Notamacropus eugenii: one gene and its partners. The protein of the gene in region 1 interacts with the protein of each later gene in a pairwise test. Links are inferred from orthologs where the notes say so. Each region holds a gene or a part of one and is shown in the gene's direction. Other genes may lie near its edges. The genes, in order: GRB10, GIGYF1 and RAF1.

Evidence for each region.
Region 2: the proteins of GRB10 (region 1) and GIGYF1 interact in a two-hybrid assay, tested with the Homo sapiens proteins (2 studies listed by BioGRID). The link is inferred for Notamacropus eugenii from reciprocal best matches to the Homo sapiens genes GRB10 and GIGYF1.
Region 3: the proteins of GRB10 (region 1) and RAF1 interact in a two-hybrid assay, tested with the Homo sapiens proteins (2 studies listed by BioGRID). The link is inferred for Notamacropus eugenii from reciprocal best matches to the Homo sapiens genes GRB10 and RAF1.

The regions. Positions count from the first base shown.
Region 1 is NC_092874.1:413,605,371-413,612,509, reverse strand, and holds the start of GRB10 (growth factor receptor-bound protein 10), read left to right. Parts: upstream 1-4,085; 5' UTR 4,086-4,220; intron 4,221-7,139.
Region 2 is NC_092873.1:80,103,153-80,110,966, forward strand, and holds the start of GIGYF1 (GRB10-interacting GYF protein 1), read left to right. Parts: upstream 1-4,724; 5' UTR 4,725-4,792; intron 4,793-4,927; exon of another isoform or gene 4,928-5,185; intron 5,186-7,814. UniProt on the Homo sapiens protein: May act cooperatively with GRB10 to regulate tyrosine kinase receptor signaling. May increase IGF1 receptor phosphorylation under IGF1 stimulation as well as phosphorylation of IRS1 and SHC1.
Region 3 is NC_092874.1:432,306,325-432,313,597, forward strand, and holds the start of RAF1 (RAF proto-oncogene serine/threonine-protein kinase), read left to right. Parts: upstream 1-4,215; 5' UTR 4,216-4,344; intron 4,345-7,273. UniProt on the Homo sapiens protein: Serine/threonine-protein kinase that acts as a regulatory link between the membrane-associated Ras GTPases and the MAPK/ERK cascade, and this critical regulatory link functions as a switch determining cell fate decisions including proliferation, differentiation, apoptosis, survival and oncogenic transformation.

The DNA.
Region 1 (7,139 bases):
ACTGGTTCTATCCCCAATCCCCTCAGTTGTACAGCAGCTGCCTCTAGGTCCCCAGTGTTATACCCTTAATCTTGTCCACCTTGCCCCCTACCCAGGTCTAACCCCTCCCCCCCCATTCTACAGATGAGGAAAAGGATGTTCAAAGAAATAATCTGATTCTTCCAGTCACATAGCTAGTTAGTGCCAAAGCTAGCATTTCAGCTCAATCTCTGGTTTAGTCTTTCTGCCTAGTTTTATCAGGGCAGCTAAGTGATACAACTGGGCCTAGACTCAGGAAGACCTGAGTTTAAATTTGGTCTCAAAACTTACTAGCTGTGTAACCCTGGGCAATTCACTTAAGCCTGTTTGCCTCAATTTCATCTGTAAAATGAGCTAGAGAAAGAAATAACAAACCACTCCAATATCTTTGCCAAGAAAACCCTAAATGGTGTCACAAAGAATTGGACATGACTGGACAGCCAGTTTTATCCCTTTGTCTTCAAGCTACAGATCTCAGCGTTGCTATGAGGACAGGGCTTTGCAAACCTGAATGCCCTCTATACATCTGAACTGCTGTCATCCAAAGGTGTCTTCCCATGGTCATTACGATTCCCTCCCAAGGCTTGCAACTGGGATGTACTGCACAGTACATTGAATTGTTAAGACAGAAGCATTCAGGGATCTGGTTCCAAGGCCTTAACTTCCCATCCAAGGGCATTTCTATTCATGTCAGAGTTATGTGTGAGTGTGGAAAGGAAGTTTGTTTTACCATCTGCCAGTGTTAAGGGAGTGTTAGTCTAGCTAACTTCCAACAGCAGTGAGAGGAAACCAAAGGCAGTCTAAGTATATGCAAGCCAACAAATACGCAGTTTAGCTTTACAGCCTGTCCCCAACTTGTGAGCGCTTAACTTAGAAAGAAGCCAATACATGCACAGGCAGTACCAGCGTCAAGTCAATAGTCCAAGGAGAATCTAAGTCAGTCTCTACCTTTCTCTCCCCACCAATTTAAAACACCTTGGTGTATTGTTGACCTAGAGAGGAACTTTTTCTTGCAGAGGTATAAATTCATAATATTATTGTAAGGGTGTGGTCGAAACCACTCCATTTCGGTTCTGGTGCCTTGACTAGGTGAGCATACTTTCTGATCAATACAAATGAAACCCAATGTGAACAGAACCTGTACAATGCCTTTATGTGAAAGGCAATTTGTGTAAAAGCAAGAAACTATCTTAGAACCTGGGGAAGGGATTCTGGGTATCTGGATTCAAGAAGTTGAATCAGGCCATAGTATTTTCTTTGAAGAGGGAAGAGAGGACTGAGCTGTGGCAGAGAATATGGAGGAGAGTCACTAGTGAGAGAAATACCCAGAAAAGGCCAGCACCTTCCCTTCCTGTCTATCCACAGACACTACAATAAAATCTGCTGTTTCATTACCTAAAGGTTCCCTGTAAACTGAATTTTGATTCCACCACAAAGAGGCCTGGAGTTAACTAGAGACAAATATAAATATAAGATCGGGCAGAGATCCCAACTTCTGAATAGGTGTTAGGAATTTTGCTAACTGGGAACTCAGAACAACTTCGACTTAACCCAGAACTTTGTTTAAAAAAAAAATCCAAAACAAACTTCATAAAGTGGAAGAGGAAGGAACCAAGTGGACCTTAGGGTCCCTGATTTAAAAAGAGCTAATTATTGAAATAGAGGTGTTAAAATATTTTAAAACTGTAATGGTCCAAACCTCCCTTTTTACAGGCTTTCATGGGGCAAATGCTCTGTGATGGAGCTACAAAGAATAAAAATGAGAAGTCCCCACCCATAAGTAATTTATGTTCAACTGGAAAGTGAGACCTAGAATAAGTAAGTGGCAGCCTTGGTAGCTAAGCAGAGCTTAGAGGAGTGGTAGATTTGGAATTAATTAGATCTGTAGCATAGGTCCTTTTGCCAGTCTGGTGAGATCCCTTCTCAGAATGTTGGTGTTTGGAATTTATAATTGAAGAAAATGTTCCCTTTTTGAGTAGAGATTAGTAAAAATAAAGATGTAGTTCGTTTTTTTTCCATCCTAGTTCATGGACCTCCTGAAAGCTATCCCAGGTTAAGTATCCCTGGTCTTTTAGAGTTCCTTCCATTTTTTAAAAGCTGTGTCCCTATGTTCCTAAGGAATTTGCCAGAGGAAAGACAGAGCTGTGAACTTTTTCCAGCCTTTTCTCATACCAGACATTGCCCTCCCTTGCGTACAGCTTAACTAACTGGAGCTATGTATAGCCCCTCACTCAGATACAAACTGGATTAAATGGGCTTTTTATAGATTCACCTGGGATCCTAACCAGTGTATATAATCTTGCTTTTATGGGAAGATAGTTCCAATTAATCGATTTACCAAGTTTTGGAAAACAGTTTGTTAACTAGGGACAACTCATCTTTTACCTCGGTGCTCACGTGCTCCGGCCCTGCCTCTCTCTGGCTTGCAAACAAGGGAGCTGCTTCTCTCTCCAAATTTGGGTTTTTGGGAGAAAAGAGATGGTAGAAAAACTTTGTTATGTTTTAGCCTTTCAACAGCTGCCTCTTTCTGGGCCTGATCTGTGACTCTTGCTAGGTTCCTAGTCTTGAAGAAAGTGCCCAACAGGCCTTCTGGTCCCTCCTCATCTCCATCCAGACACCCCTGGGGCTCCAGATAGCAGCCGTGGCTGGTGGGGACCCAGCGTGGTGGGAGCCTGGTCACTGCAGCAGCAGCAGGCACAGCAGCAAGCGCAGCAGCAGCAGGCGCAGCAGCAGGCGCAGCAGCAGCAGCAGGCGCAGCAGCAGCAGCAGGAGCAGCAGCAGGAGCAGAAGCAGCAGCAGCAGGCGCAGCAGCAGCAGGTGCAGCAGCAGCAGCAGGCGCAGCAGCAGCACGAGCAGCAGCAGCAGGCGCAGCAGCAGCAGGAGCAGCAGGAGCAGCAGCAGGAGCAGAAGCAGCAGCAGGCGCAGCAGCAGCAGGCGCAGCAGCAGCAGCAGGCGCAGCAGCAGCACGAGCAGCAGCAGGCGCAGCAGCAGCACGAGCAGCAGCAGCAGGAGCAGCAGCAGGTGCAGCAGCAGCAGGCGCAGCAGCAGCAGGAGCAGCAGCAGCAGGCGCAGCAGCAGGCGCAGCAGCAGCAGGCGCAGCAGCAGCAGGCGCAGCAGCAGCAGCAGGCGCAGCAGCAGCACGAGCAGCAGCAGCAGGAGCAGCAGCAGGTGCAGCAGCAGCAGGCGCAGCAGCAGCAGGCGCAGCAGCAGGAGCAGAAGCAGCAGGAGCAGCAGCAGCAGCAGGCGCAGCAGCAGCAGGCGCAGCAGCAGCAGGCGCAGCAGCAGGAGCAGAAGCAGCAGGAGCAGCAGCAGCAGCAGGCGCAGCAGCAGCAGCAGCAGCAGGCGCAGCAGCAGGCGCAGCAGCACGAGCAGCAGCAGCAGCACAAGCAGCAGCAGCAGCAGCAGCGGCAGCAGTAGGAGCAGCAGCACGAGCAGCAGCAGCAGCACAAGCAGCAGCAGCAGCAGCAGCAGCAGGCGCAGCAGCACGAGCAGCAGCAGCAGCACAAGCAGCAGCAGCAGCGGCAGCAGTAGGAGCAGTAACCAGAGGAGGCGGAGGAGAAGGAGTTGGAAAAGGAGGAGAGGTAGGAGGGACCGGGAGGAGGGGGCGGAGGAGAAGAAGGCGGGGCCGGCCGGGTTTAAAGCCCATTAAAGGGGGTGGGGGAAGTGAGGGAGCCCGGGAAGGGGGTGATAGATCTGGGGCTGGAGTCAGCTGAGCCTCTCGCTGTGAGAGCCGCGGATCCCGGTCCTCGGAGGAGGAGGAGGATCGCAGGCGGCAGCGGCGGCGGCGGCAGCAGCAGCAGCAGCAGCCGCCCGATCCCCAGGAGCTCCAGCGGCGGGAGGAGGAGAGAAAGAAAGGGAGAAGGAGAGAGGGAAGGGGAGGGGGAGACTCCGGCGGCGGCGATTGTGACGGCGAAGCCGCAGAAGTTTTCTTGAAAATCCTTGGGCGGCCGACTACGTGCACGGGCGTGCGAGTCTTCTGCGGACCGACTGGGCAACTACGGGAGTACCCGGTCCTGCTTTCCCACCCCACCCCCCTTCCCTCTGCCTTCTGCCTCGAATCCGTGCAGCTCGCCACCGACCCCCGCGCGAAAGCTCGGATCAGGGGGACCCCGGAGCCGGCTGTGAGCAGGGAGGGGGCCCGGGGCGGCCCCGAGGAGGAAGAGGAGGGAGGCAGCGGCGAACGGCACCGCCGGCAGCAGCAGGTAGGCATGCAGGCATGCAGGCAGGCATGCACGCCGGAGAGAGCAAGCCGGGGTTCCTAGCGGCTTCCGCCCGTCTGGGTACAACCTCCGTCCTCGACCTCGCCCCTCTCACCCAGCTTGCAGAAGTTTTTTTTGGGGGGGGGCCGAGGAGGAAGGTGGGGGAGGCGATTGCCAAGCGCCCCGAGGACCCCCAGGACCCGTCGGTCCTTTTCCTCCTCGGGTTGGGGAGCTGGTGTAGTCCCTGTGTGGAGGAGCGAACGCAGGGAAAGTTGTTTTCTGCAGCCCCTTCTGTCCCGGCCTGGCCCCGGGCCGAGTGCGGCCCGGAGCTGGCAGAAGCCGCCGGGGGAAGGCGGCCGCCCATCGCGCCTCCCGGAGGCTGGTCCGCGGAGCCAGCCCCCCAGCCCGACGGAGCTCGGGGCTGGGGCTGCTCCCGGAGCCGAGGGGAACCGGATCGGGGCTAGCTGCTCCGCAGCCCCGCCCGGCCCGGGGGCATGGCCCGCCGGCCTGCTAGCCTCCTGTCCGCGCCGCCCACCGCTCTCCTCCCGACCCCTTGGGGAGTGTGGAGCCTGCTCGCCTTCTTCTGCGGGCTGGTCACAAGTGAGGCACCCCTCCTCTCCCCAAGAAGGGGGGCGGGAAGAAAAAAGCATATACGGGCGGCATGGGGAGGGGTAGATTGGCCAGGCTGGGAGGCTATGGGAGCTATGGAGAGAGGAAGAGTGAGGGCGGCTGCCGCCGGGGTGTAATTGTTCTCTCCACACACACCCCCCCACCCCAGCCCCGAACTGTGATTCCGGTCCTTGGTCTACACTCCACTGGAAAGAGGAGGGGGCAAGGGGGGGGCATCTTTGCATCTGTATTTACTGTCTTGACTTGTCTATCTCTCACCGTTTGCTTATTATGTGTATTCCATCTCTGTGTCTATGTCTGCATGGGGGGAAGGGGAAGGGAAGGAGGTGACATTTTTGCATCTGTATTTGTTTTCCTGACCGCTGTGTATTCCGAACCCTGTGCGTGTGGATCACACACATGTATGTTTGGGGGGGAGATGGATGTGTGTGTGTGTGTGTGACCGCGCGCGTTAGTATTCGAGTTCTTGGAAAGAAGCTCAAGAAGTTGAGAACCCTCACTTGCCCCCCTTTCCCCTTCCCCTCCCCCTCCGTCTCCCCAGGCCAGCTTTTCAAGAAGTTTCATGGCACTCAGGGCCGGAGGAGGTAAGGTACAAAGATGCGGCTCGATGCCTGGTTTAACTGCCAGCCGTGGGAGCAGGCTTGGAGTGGGGCTGCTTTGGAGAAGGACATTTCTGATGCAATTCACTGCCTTTGGTAATTGCGTCTCCAAACCCCTGCCTCTCTCTCTCTCCCTCTCTCTCTCTCCTCTCTCTCTCTCTCTTTCTTCCCTCCCTCTCTCTCTCTCTCTCCCCCCTCTCTTTCTTTCTCTTTCTCTCTCTCTCTCTGTCTCTCTCTCTCTCTTTCTCCCCCCTTCCTCTCCCTCTTCCTCTCCCTTTCCCTCTCTCCCCCTCTCCCTCTCTCCCTCTCTCTCCCCTCACGGCCGCTGGAGCTCGCCGGCCACTATGCAAATGGCAACTAGATTTTGAGAGGGAGGACAGTGGCTCACCAAACTGTTTTTTTTAACAAACTTTGAGGAGCCACAAGTGACTTTTACACCATCGAGATGTGTTCGAAATCAAAGAATGTTGAACTTTAGCAATAAACAGTGAGCATTTTTCTCTACAATGTGTTTTTAAAGTCTTATTTTTATTACAAACCGAGTTCCAGACCTTATGTAAGAGGTACCCCCCCCAAGCAAAAAAAAAAGTCCAACTCTGGCAAAAGTATGTTTGCAAATCCACGTGTGTTATGGCCCCCACCTTCTCTTTATTGCTGTTTTAAAGCTGTCTGAAACTTCGGGCTTGAAAATGCTGATTCAGCAGTTGGGAGCACCGCTTTATGTCTGCTAGTGGTACTGTTTAAAATGTTTTGATTTGTTGTACTAGGAACATATGTTGTTAGTATGGCAACAAAACTCTGAGCCTGACATTGCCATGTAAGGGCTTTTTTTTTTCATCCTTCATTTGAGTAAAGTCACCCGCTCACCTTCCAAATGAGAAAAATAAGGGAGTTTTGCATCTGGTAAGAAGTAGTGGAAATTGTGGCCATTGAAACTGGTTTAAAAAAATTCTTCTTAAAGGGAAGTGCCTTTTTTTTTTTTTTAGTAGTTAAGAGTAAGCCTCTAAAAGCAAATTTAAATCTTTGCACCAGTGAGTCTAGAGGGCTAGGTTTTTTTTCCTGTTTAAAAAAAATAATAAAACTGGGGGCTTATTGAACTTATGTCCCAGTTGTACTTTGAGTACTTGAAAGAGAAGAGTAACCAGGCTAATCCCAGGATTAAAGGGGGTGAATTATAAGGACAGGTTGAGAGAGAGGGGGAGAAAAAAGCCCCCAGCAAACTAAAGATAGGAGGATGAGTAATACTGAATAGGGAAACAAAATCTCTCTGAAACGCCAAATTACAGAGAGTCAGAATATAGTGAGGCATGATGATATAACTAAATTATTTGGAAGTTGGAAGAAGGAGGCCACACAATTTTTAAAAAAATGAAGCCCAACCAGGAGACTTCATACTGATGCTCAAGCAGGCCTTGAGTATTTACAACCTATAGAAACCATATCCTGACTTGAACAAAGAAGTCTATTGTACTTTCCCCTTCATCTTAGACCTGTAAAATTCTTAGTTTGCATAACTGATAAAGTGTATTTGCTGATTTCAAAGTTGGCATAATTAAAGAACAACCCACTTCCTGTATATTCTGTCCAACTCTAGCTGCAGGGGGAGAAAGGGAGAGTGCTTGGGAGAATACATTTTAGTTTATTTTGGAGACTGTTTAAGTTGCCAGTGTGTTAGGAACCCTCCATCTGTCTG
Region 2 (7,814 bases), on another chromosome or scaffold:
TTCCTAGTGTGTAGGGAGAGGAGGGAGAGAGCAAGGAAAACAGGAATAGGTTATCCATAAAAAAGAAAAGAATGGAAAGGAAGGAAGGAAATAAGGTCATTGAAACATTTTTAATACACAGAAAAGAATGACAAAATCTAGAAATAAAAACAAGCAAAAGTGTTAAAGCTCATATATCAGATTTATTGTATATTTAAGAAGAAAAATAAGCTGTATGTAGCTCTGGCATCTCTCTCTAAGGGCTAGGTTGCTACTCAGTCGAGCTATTGTTTTCTATTGTCATTGGCTTGAACCCCACCTTCTATATTCTCCCCATTTATTTAAGGGGCCGGTGAATAGTACACTCAGTTCCACTGAAGCACTTAACATCAGATTAGCTTTTAAAAAATATTTATTTCAGATATAAAGCAAGAGCAAATTGACAAACATACTCCTTCATACTACTTCAGTTTCTGGGGTAATAAATTCAAAGTTTAATTCAATTCCCACATAATATCAGTCCCACCAAACTCAGGTCCAGAGGTGCCAGATGAGACCTTGTCTTTGCTACCACCAGTTTGGAATCCTGAAGGTCCCTCCTTATTCTTCATCAGCATAATATTACTGTGGTTGTAAACTTGAATTTCTAACTCCAGAATGTGGAGAGTCTATTGGTTTATACTTGGAGACATATTTTGCTGTAGCTGTGAATCTGAACTCTGGAATAACCAAATCATCGAGGAACCCTTTAAAATTCACAAAGTCATAAGGATCCACTCCTTCATTTGTTGCCAAGCTCCCCAAAAAGTGCTGAGGAAACGAGACAATAACTGAAGCTGACATGTCTTTGCCTCCTCAGCAAATCAAAGAACCTCCTTTTCAACATGCGGTTAGCCAACCAGCAGTTACAGAATGTCTACACATATTCCACAGTCTGTCTCTCCAAGACAGTCTCTTACGCATCATCACAGATCTCTCAGAAGCAGTTCCCTAGTATCTTGATGAGATACCACCTTCTCCTTAGATTCTTCCACATACCATCTAAGGCATTCTAGGCATGTGCCAGATCCTGATTAAATGTACATAACAGAAATCTGAAGTTTCATTTACAGTCCTCTTTTGCTATTCTCCTACGTAGAAAATGAAAATGCCCATTTTATTTGGTGTTATGTTCAGAATAAAAAGAAACCTAGAAAAGGCCAGAAGGAAACAGAAACAACACATTTTTGCAAATTTGTTGAATTTATTATATACTTAAAAGGAAAATGCAAATTATGTATCAATCAATCAATAAACATTTATTAAGCACCTACTATGTACCAGGCACAGTGCTAAGTGTTCTAATCTTTTCATAATAAAGATTTGAGGCTTCATATGCCATGTTCTTTTTCTGCTCTACTTTTTGGTATTTAAATGAAGATAAATTAATTTTTAAAAGAATTTTTAATAAATTAATTAATAAATTTTTAAAAGAATGGACGCCAAAGTCAACGTTTGGCGAGTCCCCCACTACAAATATATTGAATAAATGAATGTTGGAAGACTCAATTCTCTCCTGGATCTCCTCTACCTGTCTGATTTGTCTGACAGTTCTTAGTCTCTTTTTGCTGGATCTTCATTCTAGTCATATCCACATTCAGGTCATGCCCACTAACAATGAAGGTCCCTTAAAGCAATATTCTGGGCCCTCGTATTTTCTCCCTCTAGAAGATCTTGTTTGGTTTTCTCATCAAGTCCCATGGGTTCAACTATCATTTCTATGCCGATGATCCCCAGATCTAACCCTAATCTCTCCACTAAGGTCATCATCAACTCCTTCTTGAGTCTCTCAGCTGGATAGCCCTTAAGCATCCCAAACATTACTGTCCAAAACAGAACTCATTATATCATCTCCCCTACCACTCACACCCAAACCCTCCTTTCCTCATATCTTTCCTGTTACTGTAGAAAACAGTCACTATTCTCATAACTATCCAAGCCTGGTATCATCCTCAACTCCTTATTCACTGTAAACTCCTTAGTGACATCCTCACTCCCCACATATACAATCTGTTGCCAAGTCTTGTCTCTACTACCTTCACAAAATCTCTCCTATATCTTTCCTCTCAAGTCATAGTCACCATCCTGGTGTTAGCCTTCATCCTTTTTCACATGGACTATTGCAATAGCCTTCTGGTTGTTATCTTTGCTTTATGTCTTCACTCAGAAGCCAAGGTGATTTTCCTCCAGCCTAAGTCTATGACAGCCCCCTAGTTAAAAAAAAAGGCTGCTTTCAGGGCTGCTTTCTTCCTCTAGTGTCCACCTGATTCACCTAACTCTCACCTGTGGCTCCACAAAGCTGCAGTACATTGGCCACACCCTGTTAAACTGTTTCGGCAGATAGACTGAACCAGGCTGAGGGGAACTGAGAAGTCGAGGGTGGGTGTGGGGGTAATGTCTACCCTAAGCATGTGAAGACTTCCCCTTGGTGGAATGGGCAGATGAAAACAATTTTTTCCAATGGCCATGAAGGCAGTTGAAGTAGGTGCTGTGGAACACTTGGAGACTAGTTAGACATTGAAGACGGCAAGGTCATCCAATGTATCTCAAGCCATCACCAGTCATCTTGACTCTGTCCTGGAGTGTGAAGACTCTGGAAGAGACAGTGAGGCTGATGACTTCATGCAACTCTGCCTCACTTAAATCCAATTTACACCTTAATCAAAAGACATCACTCAAACCATACCAATGGAAAGTGTGGGAGATAAGAGATATTAGACTGATTACCAAACTGAAGGTCTACAGAGCCATTGTGCTGAACTCATTGTTAAGTGCCTATGAAACCTGGAAAGTCTACCAGCACTATGCCAGAAAACTGAATCACTTCCATTGGAATTGTCTTAGGAAGATTCTGAAGATCACCTAGCAGGATAAGGTACCAGACACTGAGGTCCTTTTTTGAACTAAACTGTCAAGCATTCAAACAGAGATCACAAGTTCAATGGGCTGGCCACACTGTTTAAATGTCAAATGTATGTTTACCAAAAAGACTATTTTATGTAGAATACACATTGCATTGACATCGTGGTCAGAAAAAGTGATACAAGTACACTTTCAAGGTCTCTCTTAAGAACTCTGAAATTGATTGTGTGACACGGGAGACACTAGCAAAAGACTACCCAGCATGGTGTGCCCTCATCAGAAAAGGTTCTGTGCTCTATGAGCAGAACAGAATTCAAGTAGTTCAAAAGAAATGTGAAATGTGCAAGTTTAGAGAATCGACCCCAAATGTTCACATGGACTATTTCTGCCCAAACTGCGGTAGAGCATTCTGATCTCATATTGGTCTGATCAGCCACAGTCAGACATACTGTAACTTGACTCTAGTGATGTCATTTTGGTACTCTTTGATAATGAAGGACAACCCACCAATCCTTCCATGAACCCTATGATCCATCACCACTGGCCTTCTTGCTGTTTCTCCCACAGGACACTGCATCTCCTAATTCTGTGACTTTTCACTGGTTGGCCCTAGTACCTGAAATGTTCTTCCTCATGTCCACCTCCTGACTTCTCAGGCTTCCTTCAAGTCTCAGCTCAAATTCTACCTTCTGCAGGAGGCCCTTCCAGATCTTTACTTCACTTAGCCCCACCCCATTAGTGCCTTCCTTCTGAAATAATTTCCATTTACATCATATATATTGTATGTACAATTGTTTTAATGTTGTTTTCCCCATTAATTCTAATGAATTAAGTGAACTCCTTGAGGGCAGCCATGTTTTTTCCTTTGTCCCCCGGTGCTTGGCACAGCACCTGACATATTAGTAAGTCCTTAATACTTGTTGACTGATAGAATGAATACTTTAATTCAGTAGACTGTGAAAAAGGCCCCATTGCAATACAACAAAGGGCTGATGCTCATGAAATTGACATGAATGTTCTTGAGGTAATCAACTAGCATTTAAACACCTGCTACGCGTCAATTACCAGGCTAACGATACAAAGAAAGGGGAGACAGTTCCTGGTCTCAAGAATCTTCTAGTCTGACCGGGAAACAACTTGCAGAAACAGGATGTGCAAACAAGCCACAGACCCAAGAGATGGCAGAGGGGCAGCTAAGTGTCCAAGTGGACGGAGGGACAGCCCTGGAGTCCGAAGACCCGAGCTCAAATCCAGACGCAGCCACTTACTTAGCTATGTGACCCTGGACAAGTCACTAACCTGCAGCTGCCAATTTCCCCCTCTACAACGGGGATGGTAGCAGAACCTACCTCCCATGGTGGTTGTATCAAATAAGATACTTCTAAAGCGCTTCCCGCAGCCTGAAGCGCTACACAGATGCGTTACTGTGGTCAGTGTTAAAAGTGCCTTTCACATGCATGATCTCATGCGGGCCTCACAATAATAAGCCGGGGAGGGGCGCACTCCCGATTGCCCGTCCCACGCTGCCTCGGGCCGTGGGTGCCCCGGCAGGGCCTGGGGTTTCCCTGCCCTTTTGTGTGTCTGACTGCAAGCGATCCTCGTCCAGCTGCCTCGTGGGTCGCCCGGCCACACCGGACCCCCGGGAGGAGAGATGCGGCTGGACTGCTAATGTTCGAGGTTCGATGACGCCATGAGGCGCCCTGACGTACGTCCGCCAGTCCGTCCGTCCGTCCGTCCATTCGGAGCTGCAGGGCGGGCCGCCTGTCAGGTGCCGGGGGAGCTGGCGCACTTAATTGGGGGAGTAGTAGGAGGGGAGGAGGGGAGGGCGGTATAAAACAACCAAACAAGCCATCCCAACTGGCTCCGGGTCACGTGACGCGCCAGGCTGGGCTCCCCGATCACGTGCCACTCGGTAGGTGCTGCTCCGCGCGCCTACGAGAGCCCCCTTGCGAAGGTGTGTGAGTGTGTGCCGTGTGCGTGTGTCTGCCCGCCCGCGCGGCTCTGTATGTGTGGAGCGGGGCCCGAGGCGGGGGGGCGGGGGTAGTTGTTGCGGGGGGCAGGGGGGTTGGGCGCGGAGCGTTCCCTCGTCACGTGGCGCAAGGCGGGCAGCCATCTTGCTACAAACACAAACACTGAGGAGCGGCTGCAGCGGGAGCGCCAGCGCGCGCCGCCCCCCCTTCGCCTCCCTCCCCTCCCCCCTCGCCGGCCAGTCTGCCGCGCGCCCTAGCCTCGCGCCACCAACGCCCCGGAACTGGAGCCCGAGCCTGGCGCAGCCTGCCCGGGATCGCCCGCCCGCCCACCAGCGGTAAGGAGCGCGTCCGCCCCATCCAGCCCGGCCCGGCTCGGCCGGGGGGCGCCTGGGGCCTACGGGCCGGCGTCCCCACCCCCGGCCCTCCCCCGACCCCGGCAGCCTCTCTCGGGACCCCGGAGGCCGGAGGGGCGGCAGGCCAGAGCGAGGCTCGCTCCCCCTCCCCGCTAGGGCCAACCCCTCTTCCCCTGAGGGCGGGACTGGGCGGGCCAGGCCCCTCCTGCATCTCCGGCTGAACGCCCAACCGCGCGGGGCACCCGCAGCATCCCGGCCTCCCCTGGAGACCCTGCCCCATCGGGGCTGCCCTCCGCTCACCCCACCCCAGCCCCGGCTTTGCGTGGCCACTGGAGCGGGGAGCCCCCGCACCACAGTCTGGGCCCATTGGGGAAGGGTCCCCGAATCTCCTGGGAGGGCGTGCAGTGCGCTACACCGATCTCTCCCCCTCTCCCCACCGCTCTTGTTTAAGAATAACCCCCCCTTTCCATTGTACCCCTGTTTCTTCTCCAGTCAAATAAGGGGGTTGGACTGTAGTCATCCCAATCCCAGCTTTGACATTGTGAGACTTCCCCATGATTGAAGCTCTTCTGAACTCCCCACCACAATATCCTGATATTTCCACAGTGGTTCTGTTTTGGCAATGAAATACATCTCCACACACAGTCAAGATCCCTCACTTTTCTCCTCCTGGGTCATAAGATCCTAGATTTAGAGCTGGAGGGACCTTAATGTTCGTGGGGTCTGACCTGCGTGGCACTGATTCCAAGCCCCCTGCTCGGTCCACTAGACCATGCTGCTGCCTTTATAGTGTCTGGTTTTTCCTCTAAATTTTCTTGTCTGGCAGTGACAAACAGAACAGACACCCTTATGAACTCCATTCTTTCCAGAACTTCAACCTTTCTGCAGAGCTCTCAAAAATCCCAGGATTCTGCTTTCATAGGACACATTTAGATAGCACATAAAGATTTACCGAGCAAGACCATCTTTATAGAGACTATCTCAGTAAATTGTTTGAATTTCTGTCAAAAGAATCCCCTCCTAAATCGCTTTTAATTTACCCCTCATAAAGAGAGCCTAACTTAAAGATCATCTCAACCTCATCATCCCTTGCAACTTTATGTCTATACTCCTGTGCATTCATCTGCTAGAGGCATTAGATCTTTTTAGATAAACAGTAAAAACTTGGTATAGTATAAGTGAATCTTAGCTGTGCTACTTTCTATTTGTGTTACCTTAGGTAAGTCACTTACTATCTCTGGACCTCTGTTTTGTCATCTGTATCATGAAAGTACAAAAAGATTATTTCTAAGGTTCATATGATTTTGTGAACATAGTTACTCTCCCAGTGTTACCCTTTAACTGATTTACCACTAGATGTAATACCCCAGCTCTTGTTTCTCTTTCAGAATAAGCCACCTGTCTTGATTTATGCAAGTATGAATAGGTTGAGGAATGTTTGAAGGGTTTGCTCTGGTAGTGTTTGATTAGGTTTAATCATGTCACACAGGAGCCTTGTTTAGCTGAGAAATCAAGGTCTTCAGGGTACTTGGTGATGATTGGAGACTCTAGAGAATCAAGAGTTTGGGCTACCTGAGACATATCTGAGAGTGTGTGGGAATTGATGGACTTGAAATCCTTAGGGAAACTGAATTCTTGGATTATATCCCTGTGACTGTTCCTCAGACTGTATACTAGAATTTTTTGTACCAATGAGTTCCTAGAAATAATAATATAAAAATGTAAGTAACTGAGAAGGAAGGGATTGGGGAGGGCTTCTAAGTGGTGCATTGAACCTTTGCCTGACTTTGGAAGTAAAGTGAGGAAAAACAATCCAACAGTTAAAATTTTGGAAACTAAAGTATTCCTAGGAATTAGGGATGATGAGAAGAGTTGCAGTTGATATAAAGTCTTCCTCAGCCTCTATCTAGGGACAGGAATCCTTGTTTTATGGAGCAACAACTGTCCCTTAGCACAGTGTTTTGTGTGTGGTGAGCAACTAATAAATACTTTTAATTCATTCAGATCCCATCAACTTGGAGGAATCAGTAAAAGAGCTCAAATAAAATGAAAGGATGTGAAAGCGCTTCAGCATTGGCAAATGTGAATGACATATTAGTGGTTTTAGGAAGTAGAAATAGGGACCAGAGATGCTTACTCTCTAAATAGACTGCCTCCTTTTCTAAACGAGAAACTTTTCAGCCAGATAGGAGAAAGGTCTTTTTGAAATAGGGGGAATTTTGAAGACCCAAGCAGAGATAGCTACTTTGGATATTGGAGATCTGAGTGAGATTTTTCTGTCCATCACTTATGACTGGAGCTAAATTTGGAGTATTGGGAAGAAAGTACTTCAAGGATCTAGAATCTTATTAGTTTGCAGTCCTTCCTCCACCAATGCAGATTTTAACCTACTTTGTGACTTAATTATTTGCAAAAGAAGATATTACCTTGTGGGTGACTTGGTGATGAACCTCTGCCACTGGGCCAGGCTTGCCCTCACACAATACATACAGTCTGACAGAGCTTGTGCTTTGCTAGTATTGCTTTCAAGAACCTGGGAACACCAAGGTGTTCATACTATGTATGATGAGGCACTGACACAGAACTTTGCTAGACACCTAATTCCCACCTC
Region 3 (7,273 bases), about 19 Mb from region 1:
CGTCTCAGTATGATAGAGGTGGGAGGAACCTTAGAGATCATGTAGTGCTGACCCTTTATTTCAGTAGATGAAGGAAATCAGAGCCAGAGAGCACAGGTGACAGATATAAGGTCATACAAGTTGCAGAGCCACACTTATAACCTTGGCTTTCAGTGGAAAGATGCAATTGCGGAGTCAGAGGACTTGGGTTCAAATCCTACCTCTGATCTTTGTGACTTTATACAAGTTACTTAACTTCCCTGGGCCTCAACGTACTAATCTATAAAAATGGGGTCAGTGTAGAGGATGAAAGAAATCATACAATGTGGTCTCTGATGTCCTTCCTAGGTCTACGCCCATAACCCTATATCTCTACCCTGCTGCCTCTTCTGGTCATCTTTCTTCCTAAAACAGAATCCATTGCTGTCATATGGTCCTCTCACTTATGAGTAAGTATTGTTTAACTTTCTTCACAAGTCTGATGATACAATCTTCTGTCCTCAATCCGCTTTATTCACAAAGCAATGCAGTTACACCTTAAACTTCACTACTATCTGGGACTGTGCTACCTCCCAAGATGCCAAACTCCAAAGCTATTCCTTAATTCCAATGCCATTTTTCTTACTTCTCTCTCATTCCTTCTCATTCCATCTGATTTCTGTCTTCACCCTGATTTCCAATCAGTTAATCATTCAATAAACAGAGTCCATCGCCAGTGTCACTTGCCAGTCCTGACCCCTTCTTTGCCAGTGACTTCAAAGATCTTGGTTTGCCCTTCTAATCCTCCCTGGGTCATTTCCACCATTCCGTTCTTCCCTCTGAACTTGACCCTGGGGGGCTGAATATGCACAGAGAAAGTCACCATATCAAACTTATTGGAAAATAGTTGAATTCATATGGTATATGAATGTGTGAGGACAGGGCATTTTTGTCTTTTATTCCACAGTAGCTGGCACACAATAAGCACTTAACTGATTGACTTGTTCTGTTTGACAACTGAGATAACAGTGAGAGCAAACAGCAGATTTAGGCTTGACCTAAGGAAAACTTTCCTAGCACACTGGAACTATCCAAGAGTTGAATGGCTTGTCTTGGAAGGTAGTGGGTCATCACTTGAGGTCTCTAAGGAAAAACACCCTTGTCAGGTGTTTGTATTTGAGTCATTTCAGTCATGTCCAACTCTTTGTGATCCCATGTGGAGTTTTTGTGGGAAAGATACTGGTTTGTCATTTCCTTTTCTAGCTCATTTTCCAAATGAGGAAACTGAGGCAAACAGGGTTAAGTGACTTGCCCAAGGTCACACCCATAGTAAGGGTCTAAGCCTAGATTTAAACTCAGATCTTCCTGACTCCAAGGCTAGCACCCTATCCACTGGACCACCTAGATGCCCCAAGTGTATTGGATCTTTCTTCAGGTGCTGGTAGGACAAGGTGATCTTTCCAAACATGAAATTTTCTGATCCTGGGCAGAGAACTGGATTTAAGGAAATAGTGTGGTGAGAAGAAAACAGGGCACGCAGATGAGGCATGGGAAAGGGATTTGCTGAAAAAACAGAATCCTATGTATTTTAAAATGGGAAATTAAAAGAAGCAGCACCATAAGGAGAGTTTGGAGGGAGGGGACAGACTGGCGCACCCAGTAAATAGATAAGGCCACACCTGGGGCAACAGACACCTACACACAACTGACCCCAATGTTTCCTATGGAGCTCTGCCTGGTTAAGCTGTGTTGTCTAATAATCTTTTAAGACTGGCAGCAGCCCCAGCCTCTATTCAGGTGGCAATTCTCCTGGAAACTTCAAAGTGCTTTGGGCAGGAAAGAAAAAACACAAAAACTGGGCGGGGATCAGTTTAAGGGGGGAAGAAGAATCCTTTAAACATCTGTGCCCACTGCTCTCCAAGAAAACAACTGAAGTTTATAAAGCCTTTAAGATTTACAAAGTTCTGTATATATCCTGAATTCAATAGAGATCTGAACCACAACTCTGTGAGGTAAGTAATACAGATATCATCCTCCTTAATTCATCAATCAGTAATTAGGATTGTGAATCTCAGAAAAGGGAAATAGGATGCATATAGCTAGTCTTGGTGGGAAGGGTCTGATCCTCAATCTCTAAGTGACACAGGGCTCTAAGATAACAGTCTTCTCATTCACTTTCAAGACACACCCTTGCCCTGAAGCCCCCCTTTACTACATTAGGCCAATTACAGCCTTAGTTTACAACAAACTAACGTTTGTCCAAGGCTAACTCCTAATTGTTGGGGATACAAAGACAGCTAAGTCACTGAACCTGCTCCTGAGGAGCTTACAACCAAATGTGGGTGTAAAGACAAAAATGACTGTAAGAGAGAATGACTAATTGCAAAAAAGAGGTCCAGGGAGTCTCATGATAAATTTAAGTAGGAAGAAATCACCTCCTCAGCATGGGGGGCAGGGAGTAAGGAAAAGGAAAAGATTAAGGGAAGTGCCAGAGATAAAGCTGCTGCTTCACATTTGTTTCTCCAAACTGTAAACTCCTTAAAGGCTTGGGAAAGACATAATTATTTAGTAGCATCTATATTTGCAAAGGATTTTGAACATATTTTTTCACTGAATCTTCACAACACTCTGAGGTGGGTGGTATTATTATCCCATCTTCTGGATGGGGAAACTGAGGTGTGGAGTAGTGAGATGAGCTGGCGATACAGGAGAAGAGCTCGGGTGCCCTTGAATTCAGGCCCAGTGTTCTCTCTACACACTAGGGTCCCTGGCTGCTTAAGGAGCCTCACAGACTTGGAGCCAGAAGCGGCCTCGGGGGCTACCTGGCCCGAGGTCTGCATTTCACAGGGAGGCAGGAGGTGTTTCAGAGTCCCACGGGCAGGGAGTCCCAAGGCTGAGAACTGAACCTAGGCCCTCTGACTTCAAAGGAGGCTTAAAAAAAGCACGGCCCTACAGTCCTGGTTCTTGGAGTCTTTCATAACGTCCAGGAACAAATTCTACGAGAAATACCAGAACAGACCGTCCTGGCAAGCTGGTCAGCCCAAGTCCGGCGGCCACGCGTGCGGCTGCACCCAGGCTGGCTGGCGGGGGGCACGTCCTGTATGCCAGGACAGGCGAACACTGGGGTCTTCGGCGTCAGAGGGTCTGGGTGCCAATCCCCTCGTGTCCTCTCCCCGGTAAAAGGCTGGGGGCCCTTCAGCTCTGCACGTGGCCCGAGGCCGCTGGGCGTCCCCAGGATGACCTTGGAGTCAGAAGACCCGAGTCCAAAGCCTGCCTCCGACACCGTCCCGTCCGCGCCAGGGCTGCGCACGCGCCGGCGATCACCACCGTCCGGGACTGCTGCCCTGCCGGAGAAGTCGGGGTAACAGCACCTCCCTTGCGGGAGCCGAGGTCCAACGGGGCGACCTACTAAGCGCTCTGCAAGCCTCGAAGGGTGGCGTAGACGCTGCCCGTCAGCATCCCGTCTGCCTCAGGGTGCTCCTCCGGGAAGTGAGCTTCGCTGCGAGGGGCAGAGGGGCCGTGCACAGAGCGGCATGGCTGCGGTCACCGCGGCGGTCACGCAGCTTTCCGCGTGGAGCTGTGCGGCCCCCCGGCCCTTCCCGGAGCCTCAGTTTCCCCAGCTGTAAAAAGGGCGCCGTCTACGGGGGAGGGAGCTCGCCTGGGACCCCCGCGGCGTCGTGGCCCGCAGCGGTCCATCCTCTCCGCGGGAGCTGCCGGCCTCGGCCCTCGGGGCGCCCCGGTCCCCGGTTCCCGGCCTCGGTCCCGGGGCTCGCCCGCTCGCCCGCCCGCTCGCCCGCCCGCTCGCTAGCAGTTCGAAATGGCGGCCGCAGGCGCGCCGAGGCCCCGCCTCCAGGGGCGGGGCCTGAGCCAGGGAAGAGGGAACGATACCGGAGCCGATGAATGGGCGCCTGGGCCGTGCCGGCGGCGGGGGCCGCGGTAGGTGGGGGCGGCGCGGGGGAGGCGCCGCAGGTTAGGCCGAGGAGCGCCGAGCCTCCTCGTCGCGGACGCTGAGGCCGCCATTTTAGATGGAGGCAGCGAGCCGCCGCCAGCAGTGAGGAAGCGAGCGCGAGCGGGCGCCGGAGCGAGAGCGCGAGCGTGGGCGCCGCGGCGGGCAGAGAGCGCCCCTCCACGGGCTCGGCCGGGCCGGGACGGCGGCGGCGGGCGGCCCGGGCCCTCGACTCTGCGGCGGCCGGCGGGCGGGCCCCTGCCCGGGGACGATGCGGGGGCCGCCCGGGGCCCCCTCCCCCGGGCTGGGGACGCGCCGCCGCTGATCGGGCCTGGGCGCTGGGCGCACTCGACGCGCCGCCGCTGCCGCCTCGGCCCGGGCCGCGGGCACGCACGGGACGGGGCGAGACGGGACGCACGCGGCGCGCACCGGCCCCGCAGGTAGGCTGCCGAGCCGGCTCAGCCCGGCAGGCGAGAGCGGGGCCTCCGGCCCGGCGCGGCTCCTCGCCTGAGGAGGCCGCGGCCCTTCCGGGGAACGCGGGCCAAGGGAGACGGGCACAGCCCGCCGAGCCTCGGCCGGGCAGCGCCGGAAAGGGCCCTGAGCCCTTCCCGTCACAGATGAGGAAACTGAGGCCGGGAGTGGGGGTGGTTCATAGATGTAGAGATGCCAGAAACCCTCCCCCCTTACGTCCCGATGAGGAAACGGAGGCCCTGGGATGGGGGCCATCGTAGATCTGGAGCGTAGAAGGGACCCCCGACGCCTCCTCCCTGTGGAGGCCGGGAAGGCGATCGGGGAAGTGACATCTGCGAGTCGGCAGACGCTGAGGCTCGGGGTGCGAGGCCAGCCTGGCAGCCCCGAGTTTTGGTAAACACTGAGGAAGGCTTCCCAGAGCGAAGTCGGTGTCAGGAGCAATGGGACCTTTGCGGTGCAGCTGGAGACGGGGAGAGACCCTGGGCTCCTGGCGGCGCCTCTCCCTTCAGCAGTCCTGTCCCCCCCTCTCTCCCCAGGGTTTTTTATTTGGGGGGGGGGCCGGGTGGGTGAAAATGGGGAGGAGGAGAAAATCCTGAGTTCTCCTTGTGTGCGTGTGGTCGGGCGAGTGGAATAGTTAAGAGAACCTGTGTTCTTTTGCGCTGAAGAGGATGCTTTTGCCTGGTGAAAATGGATCGAGGGCTTGGTAGTTTTTGGAGAAAGGAACTGGGGCTGACTTTGCTGAAAGTAAGTAAATTAATGCTATTCTAAAGCGAAGGCGGTGTTGTAAGAAACTCATTTGCAAAAGGCTTGGGAAACATTGGTCCTGGAGTGTGAGCTAAGCTTTGCGTTCTTCGTGAAGAGATTCTTTCTCCATTCCTTCTCGTTTATTTCATACATCACTTGGTCAGTTTCCTTTTGTGGACATAATGTTAGCAGGACACGGGCAGATTCTTGGGTGTATGACCAGCTGCATAGGGCAGTCCCGGCGTATGGTAAACATAGACTGGGGTCCTATGGAAATTAGTTTATTTTAGTGTTTGTCCCTTTAAATGAGAATTATCTTTTCTGTTTGAGAACCAGATTTCTTTTGTGCTCTCCATGCTGAAACTGGTAAACTTTTGAAATGGCGGTTTTTATCATAGCAAAACAATATTAGTTGTTTCTTCCTTGTTACTTGGTTACGTGGGATTTCAGGTTGTGTATTCTGTACTTAGGCAGTAATGAGTAATGTTCTCTTAGGCCTTGTTTTTTATAGGTTGCCTTAAAAACAAAAGGGTAGATTGTAAAATGTAGTTCAGACTAATTTTTAGTGTTCTAGTTGTGTATGTTAGTATATGTTGGAAACGGTTGGGCAGCATCTAAACATGCAAGATGAAATCTGAGGATTGTGGACGGTAGAGAACTTGGAAAAAGACAGTTAACTCCCCCACCTGGAAACACACACTTAACAACAATAACAGTACCCATGTTGTTTGCCCTTGGTTCACGAAGGACCATGACATCAGAAAGGTGATTCCATGACGTCTGAGTGAGTTATAGTGGCCGTATCCAAGGTTAAGTGTGCAATTGAATTTTTTCTTAACCTTGAAATGCATTCGTTTTCTAATTAAAATCATTTTTACACACAAAAGGTTTTCATATCCACAAGTTTGTTAGAACAGCACTAATGCTCTTGTATTGACTGTGGTGACAATGTTCCTTTATTACAGTAATTTCTAAGTCATACTGTTTTGGTATGTAATGCATATACAATTAAGTCAGAGGCTGATATTTAATATCTCTAATGCTAGTCGGGTTGTTTTGAAATGGAAACAATTGTTTCATTTGAAGGCTAATACTAGGGGAGAATAGACTTGTTACTGTTTTTGTTTAGAACTTGTCTAATTAGGTACACAGGGGTTTATCATTGTCAGTTAGTGGAGACATGTTTGTGTTTTCCAGGAGGGAACTATTTTATGTTTCACTACCTCGGAGCATTCTCTCAAATTAACATTTAAAATAGAAGATCTTTGCGAAATTCACCAAAAAAAAGTTTACTGGGTGTGGTTTAATATAACTCAGGGTTAGGAGGGACTGGGTCACTGGAGAACAACAATATTTGGGTTCATAATTGAAACCTCAGACTCATATCAGAAGTTGATTGCTTTTGTAGTTTAAAACAAAGTATGAAATCTGGAGTATTAAATATTAGGGTAAATATAAAGATTGAATTTTCACTCCTAAGTTGTTTTCCTTGAAGCTTCTTTGAATCTGAAAGCTTTCTGGAGTTATGTTTCTTGAAGGCAAAATTTTGTTAATCTTTATCCCCTGTAACTCTCAACTCAGTATCTGTGTTCTAGTGAAATAATTCAATTTGGTTTAATTTTACTCTTTATGAAATAGAATCATAGATTGTTTAAATTTTTTAAAAAGCTCTATTCTATGCAGTTAATATTACAAGCTGTTTCTGCAGAAATTAAGAAATTAAGCAGAATAATTTTTATGTGTGATTAAGTTTTATGTGTGATTTGCAATTATATGGCCTCATAGTATTTTACTTTGGTAATGTATCATTTAATGGCAGAAAAACTGCTTGAGGTGGATTTCATTTAACAGTATTATAGACACCTTGGGAGTAGGTCTTTAGCTAAACATCATTGTATACCTTAGTGCGGACTTAAATTTCTTATCCTAATGATTGTTATTGAAAGATGGTAGATTAATTTGTCAGTCATTGGAAGTGTGGAAAGGGTATAACTGAGAAGCTTAAACATTAAAATGTTTTAAATAGACTTACAAAAGTTCTGTTCATAGGAGTGAAAATCTTCAAAGCAAAAGTCTTCAGATTTAAAAACTGAATTGCTCCAGTGCATTTGGAAGGATGGGGTTTGAGCCTACACTGCCCAAGGTGGTGGTAAT